4 linked regions of the Stegostoma tigrinum genome follow. The protein of the gene in region 2 purifies or fractionates together with the protein of the main gene of each other region. This does not show direct contact. Links are inferred from orthologs where the notes say so. Each region holds a gene or a part of one and is shown on either strand. Other genes may lie near its edges. The genes, in order: vamp4, alpha-soluble NSF attachment protein, vti1b and vesicle-trafficking protein SEC22b-like.

Region 1 (7,439 bases), on a different chromosome or scaffold from region 2:
GAATATGAGGTGTTGGGGGCCAGGGAATTGGAAGTCCTGGAGGAGGTGGAGGGCGTGGGTGGTGTCACGAACGTAGGTGGGGAGTTCCTGGACCAAAGGGGAGAAAATGGAGTCCAGATAGGTGGAGATGATCCCAGGCCCCAAGATGACATTCCACATTAAGCAGAGGTTCACCTGCACATCTGCCAATGTGGTATACTGCATTCACTGTACCCGGTGCGGCTTCCTCTACATTGGGGAAACCAAGCGGAGGTTTGGGGACCGCTTTGCAGAACACCTCCGCTCAGTTCGCAACAAACAACTGCACTTTCCAGTCGCAAACCATTTCCACTCCCCCTCCCATTCTCTAGATGACATGTCCATCATGGGCCTCCTGCACTGCCACAATGATGCCACCCGAAGGTTGCAGGAACAGCAACTCATATTCCGCCTGGGAACCCTGCAGCCATATGGTATCAATGTGGACTTCACCAGTTTCAAAATCTCCCCTTCCCCTACTGCATCCCTAAACCAGCCCAGTTCGTCCCCTCCCCCCCACTGCACCACACAACCAGCCCAGCTCTTCCCCCCCACCCACTGCATCCCAAAACCAGTCCAACCTGTCTCTGCCTCCCTAACCGGTTCTTCCTCTCACCCATCCCTTCCTCCCACCCAAAGCCGCACCCCCATCTACCTACTAACCTCATCCCACCTCCTTGACCTGTCCGTCTTCCCTGGACTGACGTATCCCCTCCCTACCTCCCCACCTATACTCTCTCCACCTATCTTCTTTACTCTCCATCTTCGGTCCGCTTCCCCTCTCTCCCTATTTATTCCAGTTCCCTCTCCCCATCCCCCTCTCTGATGAAGGGTCTAGGCCCGAAATGTCAGCTTTTGTGCTCCTGAGATGCTGCTTGGCCTGCTGTGTTCATCCAGCCTCACATTTTATTATCTTGGAATTCTCCAGCATCTGCAGTTCCCATTATCTCTTCCAGGTGCTGTGTAGTTTGGCCCAATATAGAAATCACTGATGAGCAAAACCACATGAGGTTACAGAACAATGACCAGCACTCTCATTCTCATCATATATCATGTCAGCAGCCTGGCTTCCACAAGTCTTCATGAACCTGAACAAAACAGTGCAGTCTTATTTGCAAGATTTAACTTACTGATGAGTTTGTTGAATTAGTATCCCTGTAAGTTTTCGAAAGAGTATGAAGACTTTACAGGCTGCTTGAAACATACATGCTGACTTGTTGAATTAACAGTTATAATGTGAAAATGTCAGTTTTGGCATTATTAATTGACCTCATTTTTTTAAAAAAAAGCACACGAATGTGTTTCATTTAGTAGTGAAAAACAGTGAAATGTTCATAGTTTTCATAAGCTCGCATTTCTACTAATTCCTTTTTTGCAGAGGCAACTTGAAACAGGTGTGGTGAGAATATTAGATGGTCAGTGGCCTATGAAGTTTGCAGCAAGTTGCTGCCCTGTTAAGCTACAGAAGGAGGAAAAAGCAGTATCCAAGTAAACAAAATCCAAGTGAAATGCTACAATGTGGAAAGCAAAGATAACAATCCCGTCAGCTTCCCTCCCTCCCATTCAATCATCCCAACTTAATTCCCTCAGCCTCCTTCCAAATGCACCAAACTCCCCCTTCTATTTAGAACAAGAACAAAGGACAAAGAAAATTACAGCCAGGAACAGCCCTTCAGCCCTCCAAGCCTGCATCACAACTAAAACCCCTAACCCTTCTGGGGACCGTATCCCTCTATTCCCATCCTATTCATTTATTTGTCAAGACGCCCTTTAAAAGTCACTATAGTATCTGCTTCCACTACCTCTCCTGGCAGTGAATTCCAGGCAACCACCACCCACTCTGTTAAAAAAAGCTTGCCTCGTACGTCACCTTTAAACCTTTCCCCTCACGCCTTAAACCCATGGCCCCTGGTAACTGACTGTTCCACCCTGGAAAAAAAGCTTCCGGCTGTCCACTCTATCTATGTCCTTCATAATCTTGCAGACCTCTATCAGGTCGCCCCTCAACCTCCATCGTTCCAGTGAGAACAACCCAAGTTTCTCCAACCTCTCCTCATAGCTAATGCCCACCATACCAGGCATCATCCTGGTAAATCTTTCCTGTATCCTCTCCAAAGTCACCACATCCTTCTGGTAGTGTGGCGACCAGAACTGAACACAATATTCCAAATGTGGCTTAACTAAGGTTCTATAAAGCTATAACATTACCTGCCAATTTTTTCAATGCTCCGGCCAATGAAGGCAAGCATGACGTATGCTTTGTTGACTACCTTTTCCACCTGCGTTGCCACTTTCAGTGACCTGTGAATCTGTAAACCCAGATCCCTCTTCCTATCAGTACTTTTAAGGGTTCCGCCATTTACTGTGTATTTTCCATCTGGATTAGACCTTCCAAAATGCATTACCTCACATTTTTCTGAATTAAACTCCATCTGCCATCTCTCCGCCCAAGACACCAACTTATCTATATCCTGCTGTATCCTTTGACGGTCCTCATCACTATCCACAATTCCACCAAACTTTGTGTCTTCAGCAAACTTACTAATCAGACCAGTTCCATTCTCTTCCAAATCATTTATGTATATTACAAACAGCAAATGTCCCAACACTGGTGCCTGATGGACGCCACTAGTCACAGCCCTCCATTCAGAAATGCACCCTTCCACTGCTACACTCTGTCTTCAGTGACTGAGTCACTTTTTTATCCATCTTGCAAGCTCACCTCTGACCGTGTGTGACTTTACCTTCTGTATCAGCCTGCCATGTGGGACCTTGTCAAAGGCCTTACTGAAGTCCACGTAGACAACATCCACTGCCCTACCCTCATCGATCATCTTTGTCACTTCTTCAACCAAGTTAGTGAGACACGAACTCCACTTCACTAAACCATGTTGCCTTTCACTAATATGCCCATTGATCTCCAGGTGGGAGTGAATCCAGTCTTGAAGAATCCTCTCCAATAATTTCCCTACCACTGAGAGATGGCTGTAATTAGCTGGATTATCCTTGCCAACTTTCTTAAACAAAGGAACAACATTGGCTATTCGCCAGTCCTCTGGGAACTCCCCTGTAGCCAGTGAGGATACAAAGATTTCCCTCAAGGCCCCATCAATTTCCTACCTTGCTTCTCTCAGTTTTCTGGTGCATATCCCATCATGCCCTGGGGACTTGTCTACCTTAATATTTTGCAAGACCCCCAATACCTCCTCCCTTTTGATCTCAACTTGATCCAAACTATTTACACACCCTTTCTCGGACTCATCACCCACCAAATTCTTCTCTATGATGAATACTGACACAAAGTACTCATTTAATACCTCACCCATTTCCTCTGGATCGACACAAAAAATCCCTTCCCTTTCCTTGAGTGGGCCAACCCTCTGCCTGGCTACCCTCTTGTTCTTTATATATCTGTAAAAAGACTTGGAATTTTCCTTAATCCTGTTGGCCAATGACTTTTCATGATGCTTTTTAGCCCTCCTGACTCCTTGCATATTTCTCCTTCTTTTCCTCTGACATTCCCAATTGTCATATTCCCAAACATCTTCCTATTCCCTCTCCTAACTTTCCCTTCCCTCCCGAATACTCCCTCACCCAATTCCGCCCACCTCCCTCTCATGCAATTCCCCACCCTCCCAAATCACCGTATCTCAATTCCCCCACTGAGTCCCCAACTTCCTCCCTTCTGATTCTCCCTCCCCCCAATTCCCAACCCTAGAGGAGACAGTGGCATAGTGGTAATAATACTGGTACACCAGGCTAATGCTCCAGGGGCACAGGTTTGATCCCTCCATGGCAGATGGTGAAATGTGTACTCTAGTAAAAAGTTTGGAATTAAAAGTTGGTGTCTGATGAAGGGTCTAGGCCCGAAACGTCAGCTTTTGTGCTCCTGAGATGCTGTTTGGCCTGCTGTGTTTATCCAGCCTCACATTTTATTATCTTGTAATAATGCCCACGTTGGTTATGGCTATGTTGAACCTTTAACTTCATTTTTCTACCTTTATACTCATTTGTCTGGTTTATTTCTGGTTTTTGTTTAAGATGGCACTGAAGAGTGGCGACATTATACAGCACTTTTCACCATATTTGTAACAAGTACATGGAACAAATACCCTTGACAATAAATAAATCAATGATACTAATGCCATTTCGATTGCCATAAAACCCCATCTGGTTCACTCATGTCCTTTGTAACTCCAGACCCATACCAATGAGGTTCACTTTCAAATGCCCTCTGGGTAATTCGGGAGGGTGGGGTAGTCTGTGGGCTGCCATTGATGCTCACATCCCAGCCACAAATAAAACTTACCTCCTTGTCACTCCTCATCCGTCCTGCCCCCAGGTTGACCATCCCTCCCACATGACATGATTCTCTCACTTCCAACCCCTCCCCCACAAAGCACACCGTTTCCATGGAGACGGGGGGGCGGGGCTTGTGTCGGTCCGAGGCCGCACTCTGCTGCAGCTCCCGGGGTCCAGAGAGAGGGGGAGGGAGAGAGTGCGAGTCCGGGCCAAGGCCCAGAAACATACAGAGAGAGAGTGATTGAGTGAGTCTAGGCCAAGGCCCAAGGCGAGATAGTGTCCAGGCTAAGGCCCCGAGAGAGACCAGGCCAAGGCCCGGGGCCCCGGGAGAGCGAAGCCGAGCTGACACAGTCAACCCGGGAGTGGGCGAGAGACACCAGGCCCTAGAGGCGGCTGGTGGAAGGTAAGGATGAGGCCCCGGACCGGAGGATCTGTCAGTGGGTGGGAGGACGGACGGACCGTGCCCCCACCGCCTCTTGGTCTCCTATTCCCGGGTCACAGAGAGCTACCCCACCCCAGGTCACAGCCCTACCCTCTTTAGCTTCCCACCCTCTTTTGCCCCACCCGTTACAGCCCCACTATTCCTGGGAATGCAGAGAACCACCTCAGCCCTGGTTGCAGCCCCACCATCCCTGGGGTAATGGAGAACTGACCCCTGCCTTGAGGACGCAGAGTTCCTGCTCCTACCGTTACAGAGGCCACCTCCCTCCCCAACCCCCGCCAATGCCTGCTGTTGGTCACCGAGGCTTGTACGCCCTGAGTTTATGTTACTGATCCAAATGTCTCCAAGTCACATAGCACAGAAGAGGCCCATCAAGCCTATGCTGACCTGTCTACACCTAATCCCAATTTCCAGCACTTGGCTGTAGCGCCTTGAATCTTATGACATTTCAAATGCACGTGTTTTGAGGCCTGCAGTCATTTACACTAAAATAATCAGAGGGTTAGATAGGGTGGATTGGGAGAGCCTTTTTCCTAGGACGGTGACGGCGAACATGAGGGGGCATAGCTTTAAATTGCGGGGTGAAAGATATAGAAGAGATGTCAGAGGTAGTTTCTTTACTCAGAGAGTAGTAAGGGAATGGAACGCTTTGCCTGCAACAGTAGTAGATTCGCCAACTTCAGATACATTTAAGTCGTCATTGGATAAGCATATGGACGTACATGGAATAGTGTAGGTTAGATGGGCTTGAGATCGGTATGACAGGTCGGCACAACATCGAGGGCCGAAGGGCCTGTACCGTGCTGTAATGTTCTATGTTCTATGTTCTATTTCAGAAATGGGAATCCAAGTCATGGGCGTCATTTATATTTTGGGATCCGAGGATACATATGTTATGATGTATATCCTCGGTCGTAAAGCACAGGTCCAACCAGCCTGTGCTGACCATAATCCTAAACTAGTCTGACCTGCCTGCACTTGGCTTATATCCTTGCAATGATTTCTTGTTTGTGTATTTGTCTAAATGTCCTTTAGATGTTGTAGCTGTACTCACACTCACCACTTTGTCTGGAAGTTCATTCCACACACACCACTCTTTTTAAAAAAAAATTGCCCTCATACCTTTTTAAAATCTTTTTTCTCTCAACTTAAAAATATGCCTCCTAGCTTTGAAATCCCTGACACCAGGAAAAGACACCTGCCACTCACCTTATCTGTCCCCCTTATGCTTTTATAAACCTCTATAAGGTCACTTTTCAACTTCCTACCCACTGTAAATGCTTGACCAGTGTTGGCTGTAGTGTAGAGAATCTTCATTTCTCCAATACTGAGGTGAGCTCTATACCTGCTCCTGCACTATTAACCTGGTGTCGCTAGGATCAATCTTAACCCCCTTAATTTGTAATCCCCATGATGCCCCTCTGTGATATAATCGGAAAGCATAATTTTAGATTTAATACAAGTGCAGCCTTCATACTCAAAACATCCAAAACTCTGCCTCTTGTACCCTAAGTTGTGCCAAATACTTAACACAGTGCTGACTTTGGCTCCCAGTGACACCTTGATTTTAAAATTCTCATCTTTGTTTTCAAATTACATCATGGCTTCATTCTGGCCTACTTCTTGATCCCTTTCAGCCTAACAGTCCTCCAAGATATCTCTCTCTCTCCAATTCTGGTCTCATTTTAACTCAGGCCAGTTTCAATCGCTTCACCGTTGTTAACTATGCCTTTAGTAGCCTCTGTGCTGAGCTCTGAAATTTGCCCCTGAAATCTATCACATTCTACCTTGCCTCCTTTGAGAGGCTCCTTAAATCTATATCTTTGCTTACATTTTTCACTATGCCTCATTATCTGGCTGAACTACAAACTTTGCAAGATAATATCCATGTGAAATGCTTTGGAATGTTTTACTCGATTCAAAGTGCTGCAGAGAGTTGCCATGTAAAACAAGTTGTTGCTTATTGCATCAGAATGTGCAAGGAATCTTTACAATCAATGAAATGTTTATGATGTTTAGTCACTGTTATATTGTAGAAAATGCAGCAATTTGCAATACGAAGATCCCATAAACTGCAGTTTGATAATGACCAGATATTCTGTTTCAGTGATGTTGTTTGAGGGATATGTACTATTTGAAAGCGTGCCATGGGATATTTTGAGAAAAGGACTTTTTAGTTTTGCCAGCTTTTCTCCTGAGATGCTAATAATTATTGGAATATGGTTTCCAATCAAGTCAGTGAAAGTTTGCAGGTGGGTTTTCTGTGGAGGACAACCTAGCTGAGTATGACCCTGTTTTACCTGACCTCTATGTATACACAATTATTGAGAAGACTGACCAAATAGTAATCAGTTGTAAGTCCTCTGGCAGGCTGTATCTGCAACCTCTCCTCACAAGTCCATGGAACCGAAACCAACTGTCAGAGTGCTATTGCAATTTAGGTTGTTTGGCCCACCTCAGACCAGGGTTTGAAGCTGGGTTTTCTAATCTATAAAGTTAAAAAGCTGTTGATGGCAATGCACGTAATGTTGTAAATGTTCAGGCCAATTGCACTGTTTATTTGACTTCAAGCAGATTCTGCTTTATAACAATGTTACATGTGCAGAATAACAAGCCACAAGTTTGGAAAGTGTGTGAGAATGATCTTCTGCAGGAGTTGTCTGGCGCTGCTTTGACT
Region 2 (7,357 bases):
GTTATTGAAAGCCAAAACACCATATGCTTTCTTAACAACCCTGTCCACTTGGGTGGCCATTTTAAGGGATCTATGTATCTGCACACCAAGATCCCTCTGTTCCTCCACACTGCCAAGAATCCTATCCTTAATCCTGTACTCAGCTTTCAAATTCGACCTTCCAAAATGCATCACCTCGCATTTATCCAGGTTGAACTCCATCTGCCACCTCTCAGCCCATCTCTGCATCCTGTCAATGTCCCACTGCAGCCTAACAGCCCTCTATACCGTCAACGACACCTCCGACCTTTGTGTCGTCTGCAACGTTGCAGACCCATCCTTCAATCCCCTCATCCAAGTCATTAATAAAAATTACAAACAGTAGAGGCCCAAGGACAGAGCCCTGTGGAACCCCACTCACCACTGACTTCCAGGCAGAATATTTTCCTTCTACTACCACTCACTGTCTTCTGTTGGCCAGCCAATTCTGTATCCAAGCAGCTAAGTTCCCCTGTATCCCATTCCTCCTGACCTTCTGAATGAGCCTACCATGGGGAACCTTATCAAATGCCTTACTGAAGTCCATATACACCAACCACATCCACAGCTCGACCCTCATCAACTTTTCTAGTCACATCCTCAAAAAACTCGATAAGGTTTGTGAGGCATGGCCTACCCCTCACAAAGCCGTGTTGACTGTATTTGATCAAGCCATGCTCTTCCAGATGGTCATAAATCCTATCCCTCAGAATCCTTTCTAACACCTTGCAGACGACAGACGTGAGACTTACTGGTCTGTAATTGCCGGGGATTTCTCTATTTCCTTTCTTGAAGAGAGGAATTACATTTGCCTCTCTCCAGTCCTCAGGTACGACTCCAGTGGAGAGCGAGGATGCAAAGATCCTCACAAGTGGCGAAGCAATTTCATTTCTCGCTTCCCAAAGCAGCCGAGGACAAATCTGGTCCGGGCCTGGCGACTTGTCAATCTTAATGTTTGACAAAATTTTCAGCACATCAGCTTCCTCTATCTCTATCCATTCCAGCATGCACACCTGCTCTTCAAAGGTTTCATTCACCACAAAGTTCGTTTCTTTCGTAAAGACAGAAGCAAAAAACTCATTAAGGGCTTTCCCTACCTCCTCAGACTCCACACACAAGTTCCCTATGCTATCCCTGATCGGCCCTACTCTTTCTTTGACCATTCTCTTATTCCTCACCTAAGTGTAAAATGCGTTTGTGTTCTCCCTGATTCCTTCTGCCAAGCCTTTCTCGTGCCCCCTCCTGGCTCTCCTCAGACCATTTTTGAGCTCCTTCCTTGCCTGCGAGTAATCCTCTCTAGCTGAACTTGACCCTAGCTTCCTCCACGTTACGTAAGCTACCTTCTTCCTTTTCACAAGAAGCTCCACCGCTCTTGTCATCCAAGGTTCCTTTATCTTACCCCTTCTTGCCTGTCTCAGAGGGACATATTTACTCATCACTCGCAACAACTGTTCCTTAAACAGTTTCCACATGTCTATAGTTCCCTTACCATGGAACAATTGCTCCCAGTCCATGCTTCCTGACTCGTGTCTAATCGCATCATAGTTTCCTCTTCCTCAATTAAATATACTCCCATTTTGCCTAATCCTCTCCTTCTCCATAGCTATGTAGAATGTGAGGCAGTTATGGTCACTATCACCAAAATGCTCTTCCACCACGAGATCTGATATCTGCCCCGGCTCGTTTCCGAGCACCAAGTCTAGAATGGCCTCTCCCCTCGTCGGCCTGTCAACGTACTGCGTTAGGAAACCCTCCTGAACACACCTTACAAAAACAGCTCCATTCAAATCTTCTGCTCGAAGCAGGTTCCAATCAATATTAGGAAAGTTAAAGTAACCCATTACAACAACCCTACTGCGTCCACACTTTTCCAAAATCTGTCGACCTATGCTTTCTTCAATCTCCCTGCTGCTATTGTGGGGCCTGTAGTAAACCCCTAACGAGGTGACTACTCCCTTGCTGTTCCTAATTTCCACCCATACTGACTCAGTAGGCAGATCTTCCTCGACAATGGAAGCTTCTGTAGCTGTGATCCCCTCTCTGATTAGTAGTGCTACACTCCCTCCTCTTTTTCCCCCCTCCCTATTCTTTTTAAATGTTCTAAACCCTGGAACATCCAGCAACCATTCCTGCCCATGAGAAACCCATGTCTCTGTTATGGCCACAACATCATAGCACCAGGTACTGATCCATGCTCTAAGTTCATCACTTTTATTCCTGATACTCCTTGCATTAAAGCAAACACACTTTAACCGATCCCTTGGTTCCTTTCCAGGAAAATCCTTCCCACTAGCTGGTCTACCTCTTGCTACTGCCTCACCTGCATCAACTCTCACCTCCGGTATACAGCTCAGGTTCCCACCCCGCTGCCATACTAGTTTAAACCCTCTCGAACTACTCGAGCAAACCTTCCACCCAGGACATTGGTCCCCTTCCAGTTCAGATGCAACCCGTCCATCTTGTACAGGTCCCACCTTCCCCAGAAGGCATCCCAATTATTTACATATCTGAAGCCCTCCCTCCTAACCAGTTGCGCAGCCACGTGTTCAGCTGCGCCCGCTCCCTGTTCCTCGCCTCGCTATCTCGTGGCACTGGTAGTAAACCAGAGAACACTGCTCTGTTCGTCCTGCTCTGCAGCTTCCATCCTAACTCCCTGAAATCACTTTTTATATCCTCAATCCTATTTCTGGCTATATCATTTGTGCCAATATGTAACACAATTTCTGGCTGTTCGCCCTCCCCTTTTAGAACCTTATACACCCGATCAGAGACGTCCCAGACCCTGGCACCAGGGAGGCAACATACCTTCTGGGAATCCCGATCCTGACCACAAAATCTCCTGTCAATTCCCCTAACTATCGAGTCCCCTACCACGAGTCTTTTCTATTCTGCCCCCTTCCCTTCTTTGCCACAGTGTCAGGCTCAGTGCCAGAGAACTGACTACTATGGCTTTCCTCTGGTAGGTCATCCCCCCCAGCAGTATCCAAAACGGTATACTTATTGCTGAGGGGAATGCCCACAGGGGATCTCTGCACTGTCTGTCTGTCCCCTTTCCTCCCCCTAACTGTAACCCATCTATCCTTGTCCTGAGCCTTAGGAGTGACCAACTCCCGGTAACTCCTCTCAATTACCCCCTCTGCCTCCCGAATGATCCGTAGTTCATCCAGTTCCAGCTCCATTTCCCTAACACGGTTTTCAAGGAGCTGTAGCTGGGTGCACTTCCCGCAGATGTAGCCAGCGGAGACGTGTGCCACGTCTCCCAACTGCCACATTCTGCAGGAGGGCCAAGCAACTGCCCTAGCATCCATACCCCACTTATCTGAACACCCACTCAGTACTAAAGTAGAAAGCTTACTTCTAATGATTATTTCTCTTTTGAAAGCCTTATTGAATCCACCTCCCTTTTTTAGACAGCTTATTCTAGATCACAACCACTTGTGCAGTTATAGACAATGTACAACAGGAAAACAGACCCTTTGGTCCAATTCATCCACATCGACCAGATATGCTAAATTAATCTAGTCCCATTTGGCAGCATTTGGCCCATGCCCCTCTAAATACTTCCCATTCATGAACACATCCAGATGCCTTTTAAAAGTCGTAATTGTACCAGCCTCCACCACTTTCTCTGGAAGCTCATTCCATATACGTGCTACCCTCTGTGTGAAAACGTTGCCTCTTAGGTCTCCTTTAAATCTTTTGCCTCCCAGCTTAAACTTATGCCCCTCTAGTTTTTGACTCCTTCACCCAGGGAAAAGACTTTCTCTATTTACCCTATCCATGTGCCTCATGATTTTATAAATCTCTGTTAAGGTCACCACTTCTTCCGACAGCTCATTCCATACATGCACTAACGTGAAAAAGTTACCCCTCAGGTCCTTTTCACTACGCCTTCTGGTTTTGGACTCTGCTAACCCAGGGAAAACACTTTGGCCATTCACCGTATCCGTGCCCCTCATGATTTTATAAACCACTATAAGGGACCCCTCGGATTCCAACGCTCCAGAGCCCCAGCCTCTCCCTACAGATGGGTATTCTATGGCAATCAGTAGATTCGCGTTCACCAATACTGAGAATAGCCTTTTATTCCAATTTTATTGAAATAAATCAATTTCCAGATCAATGGACCCAGCCTCTGAGTTGGCAGTCCTGTATCACAAACATTAATCTACCATTGTCGATTTGCAAATGGAGGTGAGATTTTGATCACCTTATTTCGAATAAAACAATCTCTTCCTCTTGCAGCAGACTGCACAGAAAGCTGAGGATGCTCTGAGCAAGTCTTCCCCACCCGGGGATCACGTGATGGGGCGGTGGCCCGGGGCGGGGTTTAAGGGCGGCGGAAGTGACGTCGGGAGAGTGGTCGCGGCTGGGGCTCGAGCGGCGATGGACAATTCGGCCAAGGAGCGGGAGGCAATGGGCCTGATGGCCGAGGCCGAGAAGAAGGTCCGCTCGGCCCGATCCTTCATGGCGTCCTTGTTCGGGTGAGTGGTTAATAAACATGCCGCCTCTTTGCGGGATGGTGTCTGAGCTGGGCCGGGCTGACCAAAGCCTGGGGGGGTGTCCCGGCCAGGGGCAGGGGCAGGGCTGACCAAACCGACCAAACCCTGGGGGGTGTCCCGGGCAGGGGCAGCGCAGGGCTGACCAAACCCTGGGGGGGCGGTGTGTGTGTGTGTGTGTGCGCGCTGGGCCGGGCCGGGCCAGGCCAGGCCAGGCTGAGCTGACCAAAGCCCTGAGGCGACTGGGCAGGGGTTTTGGGAATTTGGGGAGTGTCAGTGCAGGGGCTGGTTAATAAACCTGGGGTGGGTGGGGTGATGTTCCATGTAAGGGCCTGGTTAACACCCTCTGGGGAGGGTGGGAGAGAGATCTATCCAGGAGCAGGTTGATAAGTTTGAGGTGAGGGGTAGTCCTTGCAGGGCTAGGCTAATAAACACTGGTTGTCTGTTCTTGAACTGGTTAGTAAATGTACAGCCTACTGTGGGTCCTACAAGGCTGGTTAATATAAGCTTGCTGTTACTTTTTGAGCCTGATTTACATAGAACATTACAGTACAGTACAGGCCCTTCAGCCCTTGCTGTTGTTCTGATCTGTGAAACCAATCTGAAGCCTATTTAACCTACACTCTTCCATTATCATCCATATATTTATCCAATGCTCTTGAAGTTGGTGAGTCTACTATTGTTGCAAACAGGGCATTCCATGCCCTTACCACTCTGAGTAAAGATTTAACAAACACTAATGTCAGGTGTGGTTATTAAGCCAGGCCTTCAGTGGGTTATCTCATGTTTGCCTTTAGCTCTTGAGCCAGTAATCTAATCTGACAGGTCAACATTGCATATTGAGCAGTGTTGTTTCTTGTCTACAGTGCACACCCTAAGTTTTGTCTGCACAGTCGGATCTTCATGTTCTAATGGTGTGAATCGATCTGTAATTCCTATTTATAATGCTAATTGATCTTGTGTCTTGCTTTCTGTCTGTGTTGATTGTTGCTTCCATATGCTTGAGTGAATTCTTGGAAGTAACTGGTCATGAAATGCCCTCAAAGATGTGATACAGTTTGTTCCTGCTATAACAAATGGACTCAATGGACTTGAGTTCAGAAGCTCCTACGCATAATTATTGAAAGGCCCAGTGCCCCTCAAGCTTGACAGTGACAGGCTGAGGTTAGTGTGATAAATTCAGTAATTTGGATTAGGTTCATCTGTGGATGAATCTGCTGAATGCTCCATTTTGCAGCTGATCTGTTCCATAAATAAATTGTCTAATTTTTTTAATCCAGCCAATTTAGTTTAATAAACATCTTATCCCTTCAGGAGCCTAAAATCAGTGAGTGCCTTTTAAATAAAGTTGTATTTTATTGCTAAAACATTGCATTGGACAGTTTACCTAGGGAGAAGTTTTAATGATGATCAGGGATTAATTTGACGTCTCTTTTTTCCCTGACTACCTTGCAATAAACAAACACTTCAGCTCAGTTGACAGCCTGCATCAATGCTAGAGTTTTATTTGACAAGGAAATGTTGCAATTGTAGGGCTCCTATGACTTCTGGATTTATCAAAGAACATGATAGCCAACAACTGCTTTGTAGTGGCTATTGCAATTTTGGTCATGTAGCAGTCAATTTGCACACAGCAAGTCCCATTGCCAGAGGCAGTGGTTAGGTAGTAACATCATTGGACTAGTAATTAGTAACCCCATGAGCATTCACTAATGGCACCACACTGATGTGTATGTCCCCTCAGTGCTGCAGAAAAGTGCCTATGAAGATTGGATGGCCATGTCTCTAGATTGGGACACCTGTCCGTGATCTTTTGACTCTCCCGTTAACATGTTACAATTTTATTATGTGAACTTTTAAAGGAGCTTTGAACAGTGTGGAGGCCACAAGCTTTTGGTGATACAGTGGTGCAGCTGTCCTGTAATTCTGTCTCTGTCTCCTTCACTATATTGTCACTGAATCCATGAGCAGGTTGAAAACTATATGGAAGCTAACTATGAAAATGTAATTTTTGTCTAGTATTCAAGTTCCAAGTCTTTGGAATGTTGTGTACAGGAGAGATGCTGTATGAATTTACGTTGTGGTTTCAACAGTTTGGATGAGCCATGAATATAAGCTTGTATCTTGTTATTTGATTTGCAATTTTAGGACTGGATTCATCTCCTGAAATGTCAGCCATAATTATTTTTAATCTGTTACAACACATCTCCAGGCCGGTGAAATTTGAACCTCTTTGCCCAAAGGTAGGGGTGCTACCTGTGCATTACAGTGACCCCTAAAGTGAATTATATTCTTTTGTTCTTCTGAGTTGTCATTGGGGCACTTGGGACCAATGAGTTTGACAACCATTGTTTTGTTCTGTAGCAGTTATTGTCATATTCCAGTTTGTTTCTGCAGTTGAACAGTGATTTTTGAAATGGTTTTAAACAACTTTTCAATGGCCATCATTCCAATTAGCTAAAGTTGAATGGCAAACACTGGGCTGACGTTCATACCCACCTTCAATCATAAAGCACTGGCAGCAAGTTACATTTCATGGGCTACCATTCACCATCCAGTGTTAACAAAGTGTGGAGCTGGATGAACACAGCAGGCCAAGCAGCATCTTAGCACAAAAGCTGATATTTTGGGCCTAGACCCTTCATCTGATGAAGGGTCTAGGCCTGAAACGTCAGCTTTTGTGCTCCTAAGATGCTGCTTGGCCTGCTGTGTTCATCCAGCTCCACACTTTGTTGTCTCGGATTCTCCAGCATCTGCAGTTCCCATTATCTCTGATCACCATCCAGTGTTACCTGAATTGAGCATGTGAGGACACACTACAGTACTTAGCTGCTTTTGAA
Region 3 (7,605 bases), on a different chromosome or scaffold from region 2:
GACTTATTGAGCATTAATCCCTCTTACTATTCATCTTGCTGCTCCCAAGCAATAATCTCAAAACTGTCTGAAAATTGGCTTGTCTCACTTCTCATGCTATTTTCCAGATTTCTCACCATGGCCAATGTTATTCAGATCTCCGTAAGACTCCCCCCCGCTCGTTCTCTTGCAGCTTGTTCAGTACTTAATTACAGAAAACTGAACATTAGGAGTTCCCAAGCTACATAATAAATAGTGCTGCATTAATAGTTTCCCCCAGTACAAAACCAAGGCTGTGTGGGAATAACACCTATTCTGCCGAACAGAGCGTGGTTAATGGTTAAATGGTTCACGTGGAAATGTGAAATAAAAACCATTTGTAAGATCTGGCTTTGCTGAACAAGATTAGTTTTGCTAATTAGTTTAAAGATCCCGACTGAAAGTAGTTAGGTTCAGGGAGAAGAATTTAGATCGGGTAACACCATTCACAAAGCTAAAGCTTCAAGTGGGGGAACCCCGCCCACGGCCGACGGAACCCCGCCCACGGCCGACGACCTCATCGCTCCGCCCACAACCTCCACAGCCTGCAACCCCAGAGGAGACAGCCACACTGAGCCCTGCCGCATCTTCACCATCCCCCCAGACCTCCCACTGACTGAGGACGAACGGTCAGTCCTTAGCAAGGGGCTCACCTTTGTCCCCCTACAACCACACATCAACGAATACCAGTCACGGTCGGACATAGAGCAGTTTTTCCGCCGTCTTCGCCTCCTTGCCTACTTCTTCAACCGGGAACCCAACCCTCCTTCCACTGACCCCTTCACCCGCTTCCAACACAAGTCCTCCTCCTGGACACCACCCCCCGGCCTCCTACCCTCCCTCGACCTCTTCATCTCCAACTGTCGTCGAGACATTAACCGCCTCAACCTCTCCGCCCCTCTCACCCACTCCAACCTCTCCCCCGCAGAACGGGCAGCCCTCCGCTCCCACCCCAACCTCACCATCAAACCCGCAGACAAGGGTGGCGCAGTGGTAGTATGGCGCACTGACCTCTACATCGCCGAGGCCAGACGCCAACTCTCCGACACCACCTCCTACCGCCTCCTCGATCATGACCCCACACCCGAGCACCAAACCATCATCTCCAACACCATTCACGACCTCATCACCTCAGGGGACCTCCCACCCACAGCCTCCAACCTCATTGTTCCCCAACCCCGCACGGCCCGTTTCTATCTCCTTCCCAAAATCCACAAACCTGCCTGCCCTGGTCGACCCATCGTCTCAGCCTGCTCCTGCCCCACCGAACTCATCTCCACCTATCTGGACTCCATTTTCTCCCCTTTGGTCCAGGAACTCCCCACCTACGTCCGTGACACCACCCACGCCCTCCACCTCCTCCAGGACTTCCAATTCCCTGGCCCCCAACACCTCATATTCACCATGGACGTCCAGTCCCTGTACACCTGCATTCCGCATGCAGATGGCCTCAAGGCCCTCCGCTTCTTCCTGTCCCGCAGGCCCGACCAGGCCCCCTCCACCGACACTCTCATCCGCCTAACTGAACTCGTCCTCACACTCAACAACTTCTCTTTTGACTCCTCCCACTTCCTACAGACTAAGGGGGTGGCCATGGGCACCCGCATGGGGCCCAGCTATGCCTGCCTCTTTGTAGGTTACGTGGAACAGTCCCTCTTCCGCACCTACACAGGCCCCAAACCCCACCTCTTCCTCCGGTACATTGATGACTGTATCGGCGCCGCCTCTTGCTCCCCAGAGGAGCTCGAACAGTTCATCCACTTCACCAACACCTTCCACCCCAACCTTCAGTTCACCTGGGCCATCTCCAGCACATCCCTCACCTTCCTGGACCTCTCAGTCTCCATCTCAGGCAACCAGCTTGTAACTGATGTCCATTTCAAGCCCACCGACTCCCACAGCTACCTAGAATACACCTCCTCCCACCCACCCTCCTGCAAAAATTCCATCCCCTACTCCCAATTCCTCCGCCTCCGCCCCCACGATAAGACATTCCACTCCCGCACATCCCAGATGTCCAAGTTCTTTAAGGACCGCAACTTTCCCCCCACGGTGATCGAGAACGCCCTTGACCGCGTCTCCCGCATTTCCCGCGACACATCCCTCACAGCCCGCCCCCGCCACAACCGCCCCAAGAGGAACCCCCTCGTTCTCACACACCACCCTACCAACCTCCGGATACAACGCATTATCCTCCGACACTTCCGCCATTTACAATCCGACCCCACCACCCAAGACATTTTTCCATCCCCTCCCCTGTCTGCTTTCCGGAGAGACCACTCTCTCCGTGACTCCCTTGTTCGCTCCACACTGCCCTCCAACCCCACCACACCCGGCACCTTCCCCTGCAACCGCAGGAAATGCTACACTTGTCCCCACACCTCCTCCCTCACCCCCATCCCAGGCCCCAAGATGACATTCCACATTAAGCAGAGGTTCACCTGCACATCTGCCAATGTGGTATACTGCATCCACTGTACCCGGTGCGGCTTCCTCTACATTGGGGAAACCAAGCGGAGGCTTGGGGACCGCTTTGCAGAACACCTCCGCTCAGTTCGCAACAAACAACTGCACCTCCCAGTCGCAAACCATTTCCACTCCCCCTCCCATTCTCTTGATGACATGTCCATCATGGGACTCCTGCACTGCCACAATGATGCCACCCGAAGGTTGCAGGAACAGCAACTCATATTCCGCCTGGGAACCCTGCAGCCATATGGTATCAATGTGGACTTCACCAGTTTCAAAATCTCCCCTTCCCCTACTGCATCCCTAAACCAGCCCAGTTCATCCCCTCCCCCCACTGCACCACACAACCAGCCCAGCTCTTCCCCCCCACCCACTGCATCCCAAAACCAGTCCAGCCTGTCTCTGCCTCCCTAACCGGTTCTTCCTCTCACCCATCCCTTCCTCCCACCCCAAGCTACCTACTAACCTCATCCCACCTCCTTGACCTGTCCATCTTCCCTGGACTGACCTATCCCCTCCCTACCTCCCCACCTACACTCTCTCCACCTATCTTCTTTACTCTCCATCTTCGGTCCGCCTCCCCCTCTCTCCCTATTTATTCCAGTTCCCTCCCCCCATCCCCCGCTCTGATGAAGGGTCTAGGCCCGAAACGTCAGCTTTTGTGCTCCTGAGATGCTGCTTGGCCTGCTGTGTTCATCCAGCCTCACATTTTATTAGCTTCAAGTGAAACACCTTTGATCCAATAAGGAACTAATCCTGAAAAGCAGTGACTGAAAAATCAGCCGAAACAGCAAGTAGCCAAAGTGAGAGGTATCTGAAATCCCAGTTCATCCCCTCCCCCCACTGCACCACACAACCAGCCCAGCTCTTCCCCCCCACCCACTGCATCCCAAAACCAGTCCAACCTGTCTCTGCCTCCCTAACCGGTTCTTCCTCTCACCCATCCCTTCCTCCCACCCCAAGCCGCACCCCCCGCTACCTACTAACCTCATCCCACCTCCTTGACCTGTCCGTCTTCCCTGGACTGACCTATCCCCTCCCTACCTCCCCACCTACACCCTCTCCACCTATCTTCTTTACTCTCCATCTTCGTTCCGCCTCCCCCTCTCTCCCTATTTATTCCAGTTCCCTCCCCCCATCCCCCTCTCTGATGAAGGGTCTAGGCCCGAAACGTCAGCTTTTGTGCTCCTGAGATGCTGCTTGGCCTGCTGTGTTCATCCAGCCTCACATTTTATTATCCCAAACTCATGATCTGATTATAAGTCCATGCCTTCTGCGTGCAGTACGTTGCAAATGTTGTACAATTACAGGGCAGTGGTTTCTGCGAACAAAAGATTGATTATGTAAATGACCACTTTGAAGGGTTTTATTTTTACAAGCAAAGTTTTATTCGGGTACAGAGAGAATGGGCTGATTTACTTAACCGCAGCAAATGTTCAGCCAAGAAAACAAAAGATGGTTAAAATACACCGGCAAGATGTACTTTCCTGCACAATCAATTCGAACGATTCCTCAAGGTACTTTGAAAATAATCTACAAAAGCCCAATTATTTTGCTTCTTATTCAAATAAACAGATTTCGTAAAACTGTATTCTGTATTGCGTGTTAGTTTAACGAATACAACTGAACTCCCAATTTGTTCGTGACAAATTGTAACATTTTTTCAAGGGGCTGGAACCCACATTACTAAGTAAAAGCCTGCTTACAGTTTGTAAAATTACATACAATTTAACTTTATCTTTACAGAGCCAAGAAGGGCTTCGAATTCATCCTTAGGCGAAAATACTGACCTGATATATGGGCCAAATGCTGCCAGAAGAGCAGCAATTGCAGAGATCCCAATGATGGTGAACAAGACCGGCATCTTCTGCAGGAAAGGGCTCGGCCAATCCCCGGGGAACCAGAAGCGGCTGGGACTACAACCCCCAGAATGCACGGGGCCACGCGGTCCGTCTCCGTCTCCTTCCCCCAACCCCCCGGGGCTTAAGAGACTCGGTTATTGCCCCTTTAGCGGGGAGATGACGATCTGAAAATGGTGGCTGAAGCAGTAAGTAACGATGTTGATAAAACCTCAGGATTTTGTGGTCGGGGATGGGGGATGTTGTTGTGTGTATATTGTCATGTGATTGCGGAAGGAGGCGGGGCTTGAAAAGTCGGACGTTGTGTCGCTGTCGGCTGTTTGTTTTGTACCAGATCGAGATTTAAATCACTTTAAAGATGTCATCCGAGGAGTTTGAGAAGATGCACGAAGCCTTTGGTAGTGTTTTCGAGGAACTGAGGTGTCAATGTGAGCGCCTGCCTAGATATTCAGGAGGTGAGACTGAGAAATGCTGCTTTTTCTTTATGAGGTTTGAGCGTAGGCCATTCAGTCCTTCGAGCCTGCTCTACCATTCAATGATATCATGGCTGATCTGACCCTTCTTACGAGAATTTCCCATTTGCTCCCCTTTAGGGAGACATTCCCTCTCACTGTGTACAGCATGTAATCAGCCCTCACCTCTATATGTTCTGCGTATAGCCCTGGCCTGTACTGGCCCTGCGTAGAGCACCAGTTTGCATGCTGTAAAGTCCAGCAATGAACACCCTTTTGGACTCCAGTTCCAGTTCAAAACTAGCTGTCACTGTAACTTTGTGAAATCATCAACACTGAAAATGATAGCCAAAACAGACGGCCCTTCCTCTCACTGGCATCTTTTCTCTGCTTTGTGATGATACAATGGCTTAAAAGGTTTATTTTGTCCTGTTTTTCTTTTATAAAGGAAGGTTGAGACTTAGGTGCTCAGTGGTCTGCTCAAAGATAATTAAACAGCTTGTGAGGACTTGGGTGTTTTTTTAAAGTTGGAGCAATAGAAGCAGGCTGAATGGGTCGGGTTCAACTCTCTCAGAACCAGGATTTTTAGTTTTAGCTTTCTGCAGTTGCTTGGGTCTTGTTGTTAGAATTGCATGTGAGACGATCTATTTGACTGAGTTTACCTTTCTCAACAGTATTTATGGGATGTTACTATATTTGGACAGTTAATTAGTAGTTAATACGTACTTTATTATTTAAGGCATTTTTATAGAGTTACAGTTAAGCCAATTCTTTCCTTTTCTTTTTATTTTGTCTGGACTTTAACTGTAGTGTAAAAATAAAGCATGTTTTCCTGAAAGTTGAATAGTTTGACCAATCGCATTGCATCTGGAACACAATGCCTTACACTTGCCTTTTTAAAATAAGAAAAAGTTGGGGTAGGCTATCTTATCAATATATTTTAAAGGGGTTTGGTCTGGCCGATAACACCTACAAACCATCTCTGACTTTATTATTTATAACCCCGAGATGGGTGAGATACTAAATGAGTATTTTGCAACAATGTTTACTGTGGAGAAGGATATGGAAGATAGAGAACTACGGGAAATAAATAGTGATATCTTGGAAAAGGGCTCATGTTACTGATGAGGTGGTGCTGGATGTCTTAAAATGGATAAATTCCCAGGATCTGATCAGGTAGGCTAGGGAGGTGATTGCTGGGCCCCTTGCTGAGATATTTGTATCATTGATAGCCACAGGTGAGGTGCCAAAAGACTGAAGATTGGTTAATGTGGTGCCAGTATTTAAGAAAGGTGGGAAGGAAAAGCCAGCGAACTGTAAACTGGTGAGCCTGACATCGATGGTGGGCACGCTGTTGGAGGGAATCCTGAGGGACAGGATTTACTAATATTTGGAAAGGCAAGGACTGATTAGGGATAGTCAACATGGCTTTGTGCGTGGGGAATCATGTTTCACAGACTTGATTGAGTTTTTTGAAGAAGTGACAAAGAGGAATGGTGTATATGGTCTATATGGGTTTCAGTGAGGTGTTTGACAAGATTCTGCATAGTAGACTGGTTAGCAAGGTTAGATTACGTACAGGGTGAACTAACCATGTGGATACAGACTGTCTCCTACCTTTGAGTCAGAAAGTGGTGCTGGAGGGTTGCTTTTCAGACTGGAGGCCTATAACCAGTGGTGTGCTGCTTTTCATTATTTTTATAAATAATCTGGATGTGATGCCACCAAATTCGTGTTTAGTGGACAGCCAAGAAGATTATTTCAGAGTACAACGGAATCTCAAACAGATGAGCTGAGATGTGGCAGATAGAATTTAATTGAGATAAATGTGAGGTACTCCTTTTAGTAAGACAAACCAGGGCAGGACTTACACACCTTAACAGTAAGGTCCTGGGGAGTGTTGCCGAAGAAAGAGACCTTGGAGTGCAGGTTCATTGTTCCTTAAAAATAGAGTTGGAGGTAGACAGGATAGTGAAGAAGGCATTTGGTACACTTGTCTTTATTGGTTAGTGTACTGAGTATAAAAGTTGGGAAGTCATGTGTTGGCTGTACAGGATATTTGTTAGACCACTTTTGGAATGCTGTATTCAATTCTGGTCTGAGATAATGAGAACTGCAGATGCTGGAGAATTCAGGATAACAAAGTGTGGGGCTGGACGAACACAGCAGGCCAAGCAGCATCTTAGGAGCACGAGCTGACGTTTCGGGCCTAGACCCTTCATCAGAGAGGAGGAACGGGGAGAAGATTCTGAAATAAATAGGGAGATGGGGGAGTCGGACTGAAGATGGATAGAGGAGAAGATAGGTACAAAGAAGAGTAAGGGTGAGGAGGTAGGGAGGGGATAGGTCAGTCAGGGGAGGATGGACAGGTCAAGGGGGCGGGATGAGGTTAGTAGGTAGGAAATGGAGGTATGGCTTGAGGTGGGAGGAGGGGATAGGTGAGAGGAAGAACAGGTTAAGGAGACAGGGACGAGCGGGGCTGGTTTTGGGATGCAGTGGGGGCAAGGCAGATTTTGAAGCTGGTGAAATCCACATTGATACCTTTGGGTGACGGGGTCCCCAGCGGGATACGGTTGCTGTTCCTGCAACCTACGGGTGGCATCGTTGTGGTGCTGCAGGAGGCCCAGGATGGACATGTCATCTGCGGAATGGGAGGGGGAGTTGAACTGGTTCGCGTCTGGGAGGTGCAGTTGTTTACTGCAAACTGAGCGTAGGTGTTCTGCAAAGCAGTCCCCAAGCGTCCGCTTGGTTTCCCCAATGTAGAGGAAGCCACACCGGGTACAATGGATGCAGTATACCACATTGGC
Region 4 (7,539 bases), on a different chromosome or scaffold from region 2:
TCTTATTCCTGAAGCCAGGAACACACTTTAGCACCATGCAGTCCTCCTGAAGCCTGGCTTTGAGACAACCACACAGTCACTATATCGTCCCGTTCCTCACATAGCAAGGTATGAGTCGTGGCAGGGGTGAAAAAACAGCATGTATTAATTTGGACAAGAGTTCCTGGGTGAGAGCACAGCACTAATGCACAGTCTGGTGAGTGCATTATCCTGGACCATTCATTGAGGGCCTGGCTTTTCAATGGCATGGAAGGTTCACCATGCTCCACCGGAACTTAATTGAGGGGTTAGAATAACAGATAGCCAGGTGAGAGTTACAGGCTTCTTTATATATACAATACTGGATAATCTACAAATCTTTAAATAAACTATAAAATCTACAATAATCTATAAAACTCTATTTCGACGACACTTGGAATATTATGTTCAGTTCTGGTCACCTCATTATAGGAAAGATGTAGAAGCTTTAGAGAGGGTGCAGAGGAGATTTACCAGGATGCTGCCTGGACTGGAGGGCAGGTCTTATGAGGAAAGGTGGAGGGAGCTCAGGCTTTTCTTATTGGAGCGAAGAAGGATGAGAAATGACTTGATAGAGGTGTACAAGATGATGAGAGGCATAGATAGAATGGATAGCCAGAGACTTTTTCCCAGGGTGGAAATTACTATTACAAGGGGGCATAATTTTAGGGTGACTGGAGGAAGGTGTAGGAGAAATGGCAGAGGTAGGTTCTTCATACAAAGAGTGGTGGGTGTGTGGAATGCACTGTCGGCAATGACTGTGGAGCTTTTCAGACTTTTAAGCAATTCTTGGATCAGCACATGGAGGACAGTGAAACGTAGGGTATGCAGGGTAGATTGATCTTAGTAGGACTATAGGTTGGCACAACATTGTAGGCCGAAGGGCCTGTACTGTGTACTGTTCTATGTTCTAACCCGGGAGTGAGTTCCAGACTGGAATCTAATCAAGGGGTTCAGATTGGTTATAAATAGAATAACAGATGTCTGGGAGTGAGTTACACAGTGGAATCTATTCGAGGGGTTCGGATGGTTTATATATAGAATAATGGATACCCGGGAGTGAGTTACAGACTGGAATCTAATCGAGGGGCTCAGATGGTTTATATATAGAATAATGGATACCTGGGAGTGAGTTACAGACTGGAATCTAATCGAGGGGTTCGGATGGTTTATATATAGAATAATGGATACCTGGGAGTGAGTTACAGACTGGAATCTATTCGAGGGGTTCGGATGGTTTATATATAGAATAATGGATACCTGGGAGTGAGTTACAGACTGGAATCTATTCGAGGGGTTCGGATGGTTTATATATAGAATAATGGATACCTGGGGGTGAGTTACAGACTGGAATCTATTCGAGGGGTTCGGATGGTTTATATATAGAATAATGGATACCTGGGGGTGAGTTACAGACTGGAATCTATTCGAGGGGTTCGGATGGTTTATGTATAGAATAATGGATACCTGGGAGTGAGTTACAGACTGGAATCTAATCGAGGGGTTCGGATGGTTTATGTATAGAATAATGGATACCTGGGAGTGAGTTACAGACTGGAATCTAATCGAGGGGTTCGGATGGTTTATGTATAGAATAATGGATACCTGGGAGTGAGTTACAGACTGGAATCTAATCGAGGGGTTCGGATGGTTTATGTATAGAATAATGGATACGGGGGGGGGGGGGGGTGAGGTACAGACTGGAATTTAATTGAGGGGTTTAGGTGGTTTGTATATAGAAACAGGTTTGATTCCATCCTCGGGTGGCTAACTGTGTGGAGTTTGTACATTCTCTCCATGTCTGTGGGGGTTTCCTCCCACAGTCCAAAGCAATGCAGGCTAGGTGGATTCGCCATGCTAAATTGACCACACAGTGTCCAGGGATGTGTAGGCTCGCTGGGTTAGCAGATTACATGGATAGGGTAGAGGGTGGGTCTGGGTGGGATGCTCTTTGGCGAGGTTGGTGCATACTTGATGGGCTGAATGGCCTGTTTCTGCACGGCATGGCTGATCCGACATTCCTCCTATCGGCTTTTCTGCCCTTTCCCCAAAACCCACGATTTCCTTGCTGATGAAGAATCCATCTACCTCACCCCTTAAACTCACAAGGACTCTTCCCAGCTTGCCGTTCCCCAACCTCTAACCCCAAACCCCAGGGCAGGGAGTTCCAAACACTTCCAAACAACCCTCAGAGAGAACACGGCTCTTTGGAGCAAACGCAGGGCTGACAGGCTGCAATGCTCGGTGCTGGCACTGTAGGAGGGTGTGACCTGGCCGCAAATTCCCAGGCGGCACAGGGTGTCACAATGCTGGCAAAACAACAATGCCACATGTACCAACCCTACCCCAGCCCTCCCTCCTCCTCCCCCCCATCACACCACCTCCAGGGCAATATCAACAGGGCATATGGGACTGTTAGCAATGCAAACTCCCAGCTGAGAGGCAAGTGTGTATGTGTGTGTGTGTGTGTGTGTGAGAGAGAGAGAGTGTGTGTGTATACTGGATGGCATTCACACAGCCAATTCCCCTTCTTTCTCAATAGGCCCTGAACTAATCTGACTTGTCCTTATATTCCATGCAAACCCAGATGTGTGTGTGTGCTCACATAGAGCTCCTTAGCCCTGAGAAGCTGAACAACAGCTAGACACAGTCAAAGAAAGCGTGCGAGACAGAGGAAGATCTCTCTCTCTCTCTCTGCCTTGCTCCCTGACACTCCCCTCCACCCGCCCCCTTTACCTGCTCATTCTCCTGCATGGAAGCGGCGAGAGGCAGCCCGTCCGCCACCCGGGCGATCATGGTCATCAGGATCATGCTGCTGCTGGGGGAGTGTAGGAGAGATGGAGAGAGGGAAGGTGTCAGAGAGAGAGAGCAAACAGCGGCCGTACGGAAACTCTGGGAGCCCCAGGGACACACTGACTGACGTGGCTCATTCCACGCTGCAGCTCCGCGTCAGCACCTCCCCTCAGCCTGAGGGGGCAGGGACACACAGGGAGGGAGGGGCAGGGAGAGAGAGGAGGGGCAGGAGGGAGAGAGGAAGGGGAGGGAGAGAGGGAAGGGAGAGAGAGGAGGGGCAGGAGGGAGAGAGGAGGGGCAGGGAGAGAGAGAGGAGGGAGAGAGGGAGGGAAGGGAGAGAGAGGAGGGGCAGGAGGGAGAAGAGGAGGGGCAGGATGCAGAGAGGGGGAGGGACAGAAAGGAGAGTGGAAGGGCAGTAGGTAGATAGGAGGGAGAAGAAGGGTAGGAGGGAGAGAGGGAGGGTAGGAGGGAGAGAGGGAGGGCAGGAGGGAGAACAGGATGAGCAGGGAGAGGAGGGGCAGAAAGCAGAGAGGGAGAGAGAGGAGGGGAAGGAGGGAGGGCAGAAAGCAGAGTGGGAGAGAGGAAGGGCAGTAGGTAGATAGGAGGGAGGGCAGGAGGGAGAAGAGGATAGGCAGGGAGAGAGGAGGGGCAGAAAGCAGAGAGGGAGAGAGAGGAGGGGAAGGAGGGAGGGGCAGAAAGCAGAGTGGGAGAGAGGAAGGGCAGTAGGTAGATAGGAGGGAAAGGAGGGAGGGCAGGAGGGAGAAGAGGATAGGCAGGGAGAGAGGAGGGGCAGAAAGCAGAGAGGGAGAGAGGAGGGGAAGGAGGGAGGGCAGGAGGGAGAAGAGGAGGGGCATGGAGAGAGGAGGGGCAGAAAGCAGAGAGGAGGGGAAGAGGCAGAGATAGAGCGAGAGAGGAGGGGCAGGAGGGAGAGAGGAGGGGCAGGAGGCAGAGTGGGAGGGCAAGAAGGGGAGAGCAGGGTCAGCGGCAGAGATGGAGAGAGCAGGGGCAGGACAGAGAGAGGAGGGTCAGGAGCATAAATGGTGGTGGAGGGAGAGGGGCAAGAGGAAGAGGGGCGGGATGGAGGGCAGAGAGGAAGAAGGATAGAAGAGGGAGTGAAAGTGAGGAAGCAGGAGGAAGAGGGGGGGGGAAGGAAGGGGCTCAAAGGAGAGGGGGCAAAAGGGAGGAGTCGGGAGTTTGGAGGGGAGAAGGGAGAGAGAGGATGGAGGGAAGAGGGATAGAGGAGGGGGGGCAAGAGAGAGAAAGATGGGGGCAGGAAGGAGAGACAGGGCAGGAGGGTGCAAGAGAGACGGAGAGATGGGTAAAGGAGAAAGAGGAGGGAGAAGTGGGGACAGAGAGGAGTGAGGGTGGAGAGGGATAGAGGAGGGAGTGAGAGTGAGGGGTCAGGAATGAGAAGGGGGGGTGAAAGAAAGGGCTCAGAGGAGACTGGGCTGGGGAGAAGGGAGGGGTGGGGGGTTTGGAGAGGGAGAAAGGAGAGAGAGAGGACAGAGGGGAGAGGTATAGAGGAGGACAAGGGAGAGGAGGGAGAGAAGAAAAGAGTTGCGGTGGAGAGAGAGAGAGAGAAGGCAGTGGAGAGGCAGATGGGACAGAGAGATGGGGCAGGAGAAGGACAGGGGGTGCAGGAGAGGGGCAAGAGAAACAGAGAGGGGGGTACAGGAGAAAAGGGTTTCAGGGAGGGGGGTGTCAGGAGGGAGTGGGCCATGAGAAAAGCTCCCCCGACTGGCCGACCTTGAGCCTGCCCTGCCAATAGATACTGTCACACAGCAGGTGTCCTGGTCAAATGCCAGTTGCATCCTGCAGGTTCCTGAGCTGACAGTGACGTGGCAAGGTGGGCCCACACTTTGCCCTTTCAAACTAACGCTTGCAGAAGGTTCGATGCGAATCGAGGTGCTTTTGTTGGTGTTTATGTTCAGGTGGGTGTCTGTAAACCATCGGCCCGACTAGGGGATCCCGCACCCCTCTGAGACCACCGATAAGAGAGAAAGCACACAACGTGACGATGATAAAAGTGGGAGCAATCTCAGTTTTATTTCACACTGTTACACTGAATTGCCTGGATGATTGCAGCCCCAAAAATACTTGAGCATATTGACACTGTCCAGGAGAAAACAGCCCTAGGATTGACGTTACATCCTGAACCATCCCCTCCCACCCCCACCAACGCTCCGTGGCAGCAGCGTGTACCATCTATAAGATGCTCTGCAGAAATTCACCAAAGATCCTCAGACAGCACCCTCCGAACCCCCGACCACTTCTGTCTCACGCAGAAGATAGATGGAAACACCCCACCATCTGCAAGTTCCCCCTCAGATCCACTCGCCATCCCTGCTTGGAAATATGTCAGCGTTCCTTCACTGTCAGCGGGCCAAAATCCTGGAATTCCCTCCTTCGGGGCATTGCGGGTCGACCCACAGCGACAGTGCAAGATGGCAGCTCACCCTCACCCACCTTCTCAGACAGGGGGCAACTAGGGCAGTAAAATGCTGGCCTGGCTAGTGACTTCTGCCAGATTAACTGGCATGTGCCTGATCCACTCCACACTGACGCCATGCTCCGAATGGGGCAGGGGCCAAGTCACAATGCTTCCTGACGGTACCGAAGAGGGATGTGGATGGGAGGGTGGCATTCCCCAGCACTCCCTTTTTCCCTGTATCCCTCCCCGGCCTCCAACACTGGTGGTGGATAGACTGGATAGAGTTAGACATTGGCGTAATCCCGCCCCGACCATGCCCGTACCCACTGGAGGGGCTTGTGAGGGTGTGTGGGCTGGGGAGGAACTTGGCAATTGAGTCCTGCATTTGTGTGGTGCCTCCTGCGCGGAAACAAGGCACTCAGGACCCATGGGGAGAAACTGGCCAGCCCTGGCCAAAAGGGTGTCATCACCAGAGGTCGGAGGCTGATCGACACATTGGGTTACAAGCTGCACCTCACAGGAGATGGTCTGGGGTGGAAGGTGGGGGCGGCGGGGAGGGGAAAGGGTTAACTACAGATCCATGGAATTGCTGGGCGGAGAGGTTGGCGAGGGGGCAAAAGCAGGAGCCAGGGCCGGGAGTCGGGGTGACAGTGAATTGAGGTGGCCTGCTGTTAGCGGGCCCGTGTTAAACATTTTCCCCTCGGGGGGTGGGGGGGGGGGGGCGGTGGGTGTGCAGTAGCCCAGCTCTGAGCAGTCACATGTTTTCATTCCCGTAGGGGCCAGGACCCGGTGCCAGTCCGTCTGCAGTTTTCTCAGGTGGTCTGCCGTCTGCATGCTGTTGTCCCGGGCTTGATGGATGGACAGTCAGATTCACCACCATTGCCCTGCAGCTGACGGGCCGCTTCCTCTGTCCTCACGCTCCCCGGCCTAGGGCGCTCCTCGATTCCTGAACAAAGACATGCCAAGGCCTCCGGTTGGAGGCGATGGTCGAAAGAACCAGCCGAAGGTGGAAGGGAAGGGTCAGAACGTAGGGTTGCAGTCTATAACAAGTCATATTTCCTGGTTTTACTGTAGACTGCAGTCAGTTCACTGGTGCCACTTCATCCCAGTGTGGGCCTGATGGTGTGAATTTTGCTGTGTGTGTCTGTGCCTGTCACAGTGTGTTCTGTCTTTGTGTGTGTGTGTGTGTGTGTGTGTGTGTGTGTGTGTGTGTGTGTGTGTGTGTCCATATCTGCGTGAGAGTGTGTGTGTCCATATCTGCGTGAGAGTGTCTGTGTGTGTGTGTGTGTGTGTGTCCATATCTGCGTGAGAGTGTGTGTGTGTGTGTCCATATCTGCGTGAGAGTGTGTGTGTGTGTGTCCATATCTGCGTGAGAGTGTGTGTGTGTGTCGTTCAGTTCCTACTATCTCTGACTGAGTGTGTGTGTGTGTGAACATAGAACATAGAACAGTACAGCACAGAACAGGCCCTTCAGCCCACGATGTTGTGCCGACCATTGATCCTCATGTATGCACCCTCAAATTTCTGTGACCATATACATGCCCAGCAGTCTCTTAAATGACCCCAATGACCTTGCTTCCACAACTGCTGCTGGCAACGCATTCCATGCTCTCACAACTCTCTGTGTAAAGAACCCGCCTCTGACATTCCCTCTATACTTTCCACCAACCAGCTTAAAACTATGACCCCTCATGCCAGCCATTTCTGCCCTGGGAAATAGTCTCTGGCTATCAACTCTATCTATGCCTCTCATTATCTTGTATACCTCAATTAGTGTGTGTGTGTGTGTTTGTGTGTGTGTGTTTGTGAGTGTGTGTTTGTGAGTGTGTGTGTTTGTGAGTGTGTGTTTGTGTGTGTGTGTTTGTGAGTGTGTGTGTGAGAGTGTGTGTGTGAGAGTGTGTGTGTGAGAGTGTGTGTGTGTGTGTGTGTGTGAGTGTGTTTGTGTGAGTGTGTTTGTGTGAGTGTGTGTGTGTGAGTGTGTGTTTGTGAGTGTGTGTTTGTGAGTGTGTGTGTTTGTGAGTGTGTGAGTGTGTGTTTGTGTGTGTGTGTGAGTGTGTGGAGGTGGAAGGGAGGGGTGTGGTGTTTCCTTCTCCCACTCCTTTTTGATCTCTTGTGCCACTGGGGTGCCCACCTAGTTGGAGTTGGCCCGGCGTTGGGACATGCCCTTCAGCAGAGGGGAGAAGATGGAGGGCCGCCTCTCCTCCTGGACCCTGGCTGCTGCCCTCCTCGGTGCCAGTCCCGGAGGCAGGTGTGCCCGCTGCTCGTCCATACGCTGTTCCTGCATTCGCTGTAGCAGG

What was found.
Region 1: the proteins of alpha-soluble NSF attachment protein (region 2) and vamp4 purify together in Homo sapiens (affinity purification with mass spectrometry; 3 studies listed by BioGRID and IntAct, counting the BioPlex papers as one, with this or other methods). This does not show direct contact. The link is inferred for Stegostoma tigrinum from reciprocal best matches to the Homo sapiens genes NAPA and VAMP4.
Region 3: the proteins of alpha-soluble NSF attachment protein (region 2) and vti1b purify together in Homo sapiens (affinity purification with mass spectrometry; 3 studies listed by BioGRID and IntAct, counting the BioPlex papers as one, with this or other methods). This does not show direct contact. The link is inferred for Stegostoma tigrinum from reciprocal best matches to the Homo sapiens genes NAPA and VTI1B.
Region 4: the proteins of alpha-soluble NSF attachment protein (region 2) and vesicle-trafficking protein SEC22b-like purify together in Homo sapiens (affinity purification with mass spectrometry; 3 studies listed by BioGRID and IntAct, counting the BioPlex papers as one, with this or other methods). This does not show direct contact. The link is inferred for Stegostoma tigrinum from reciprocal best matches to the Homo sapiens genes NAPA and SEC22B.

The regions. Positions count from the first base shown.
Region 1 is NC_081361.1:32,182,269-32,189,707, forward strand, and holds the start of vamp4 (vesicle-associated membrane protein 4), read left to right. Parts: upstream 1-4,423; 5' UTR 4,424-4,723; intron 4,724-7,439. UniProt on the Homo sapiens protein: Involved in the pathway that functions to remove an inhibitor (probably synaptotagmin-4) of calcium-triggered exocytosis during the maturation of secretory granules.
Region 2 is NC_081392.1:15,156,692-15,164,048, forward strand, and holds the start of alpha-soluble NSF attachment protein, read left to right. Parts: upstream 1-4,350; 5' UTR 4,351-4,404; coding exon 4,405-4,502; intron 4,503-7,357. UniProt on the Homo sapiens protein: Required for vesicular transport between the endoplasmic reticulum and the Golgi apparatus. Together with GNA12 promotes CDH5 localization to plasma membrane.
Region 3 is NC_081363.1:69,072,989-69,080,593, reverse strand, and holds the start of vti1b (vesicle transport through interaction with t-SNAREs homolog 1B), read left to right. Parts: upstream 1-4,602; 5' UTR 4,603-4,704; coding exon 4,705-4,801; intron 4,802-7,605. Other genes in the region: rdh12 (retinol dehydrogenase 12), read right to left, coding at 4,278-4,351. UniProt on the Homo sapiens protein: V-SNARE that mediates vesicle transport pathways through interactions with t-SNAREs on the target membrane. These interactions are proposed to mediate aspects of the specificity of vesicle trafficking and to promote fusion of the lipid bilayers.
Region 4 is NC_081387.1:19,111,157-19,118,695, reverse strand, and holds the start of vesicle-trafficking protein SEC22b-like, read right to left. Parts: upstream 3,009-7,539; 5' UTR 2,830-3,008; coding exon 2,755-2,829; intron 1-2,754. Other genes in the region: uncharacterized protein LOC125467682, read right to left, coding at 7,374-7,539. UniProt on the Homo sapiens protein: SNARE involved in targeting and fusion of ER-derived transport vesicles with the Golgi complex as well as Golgi-derived retrograde transport vesicles with the ER.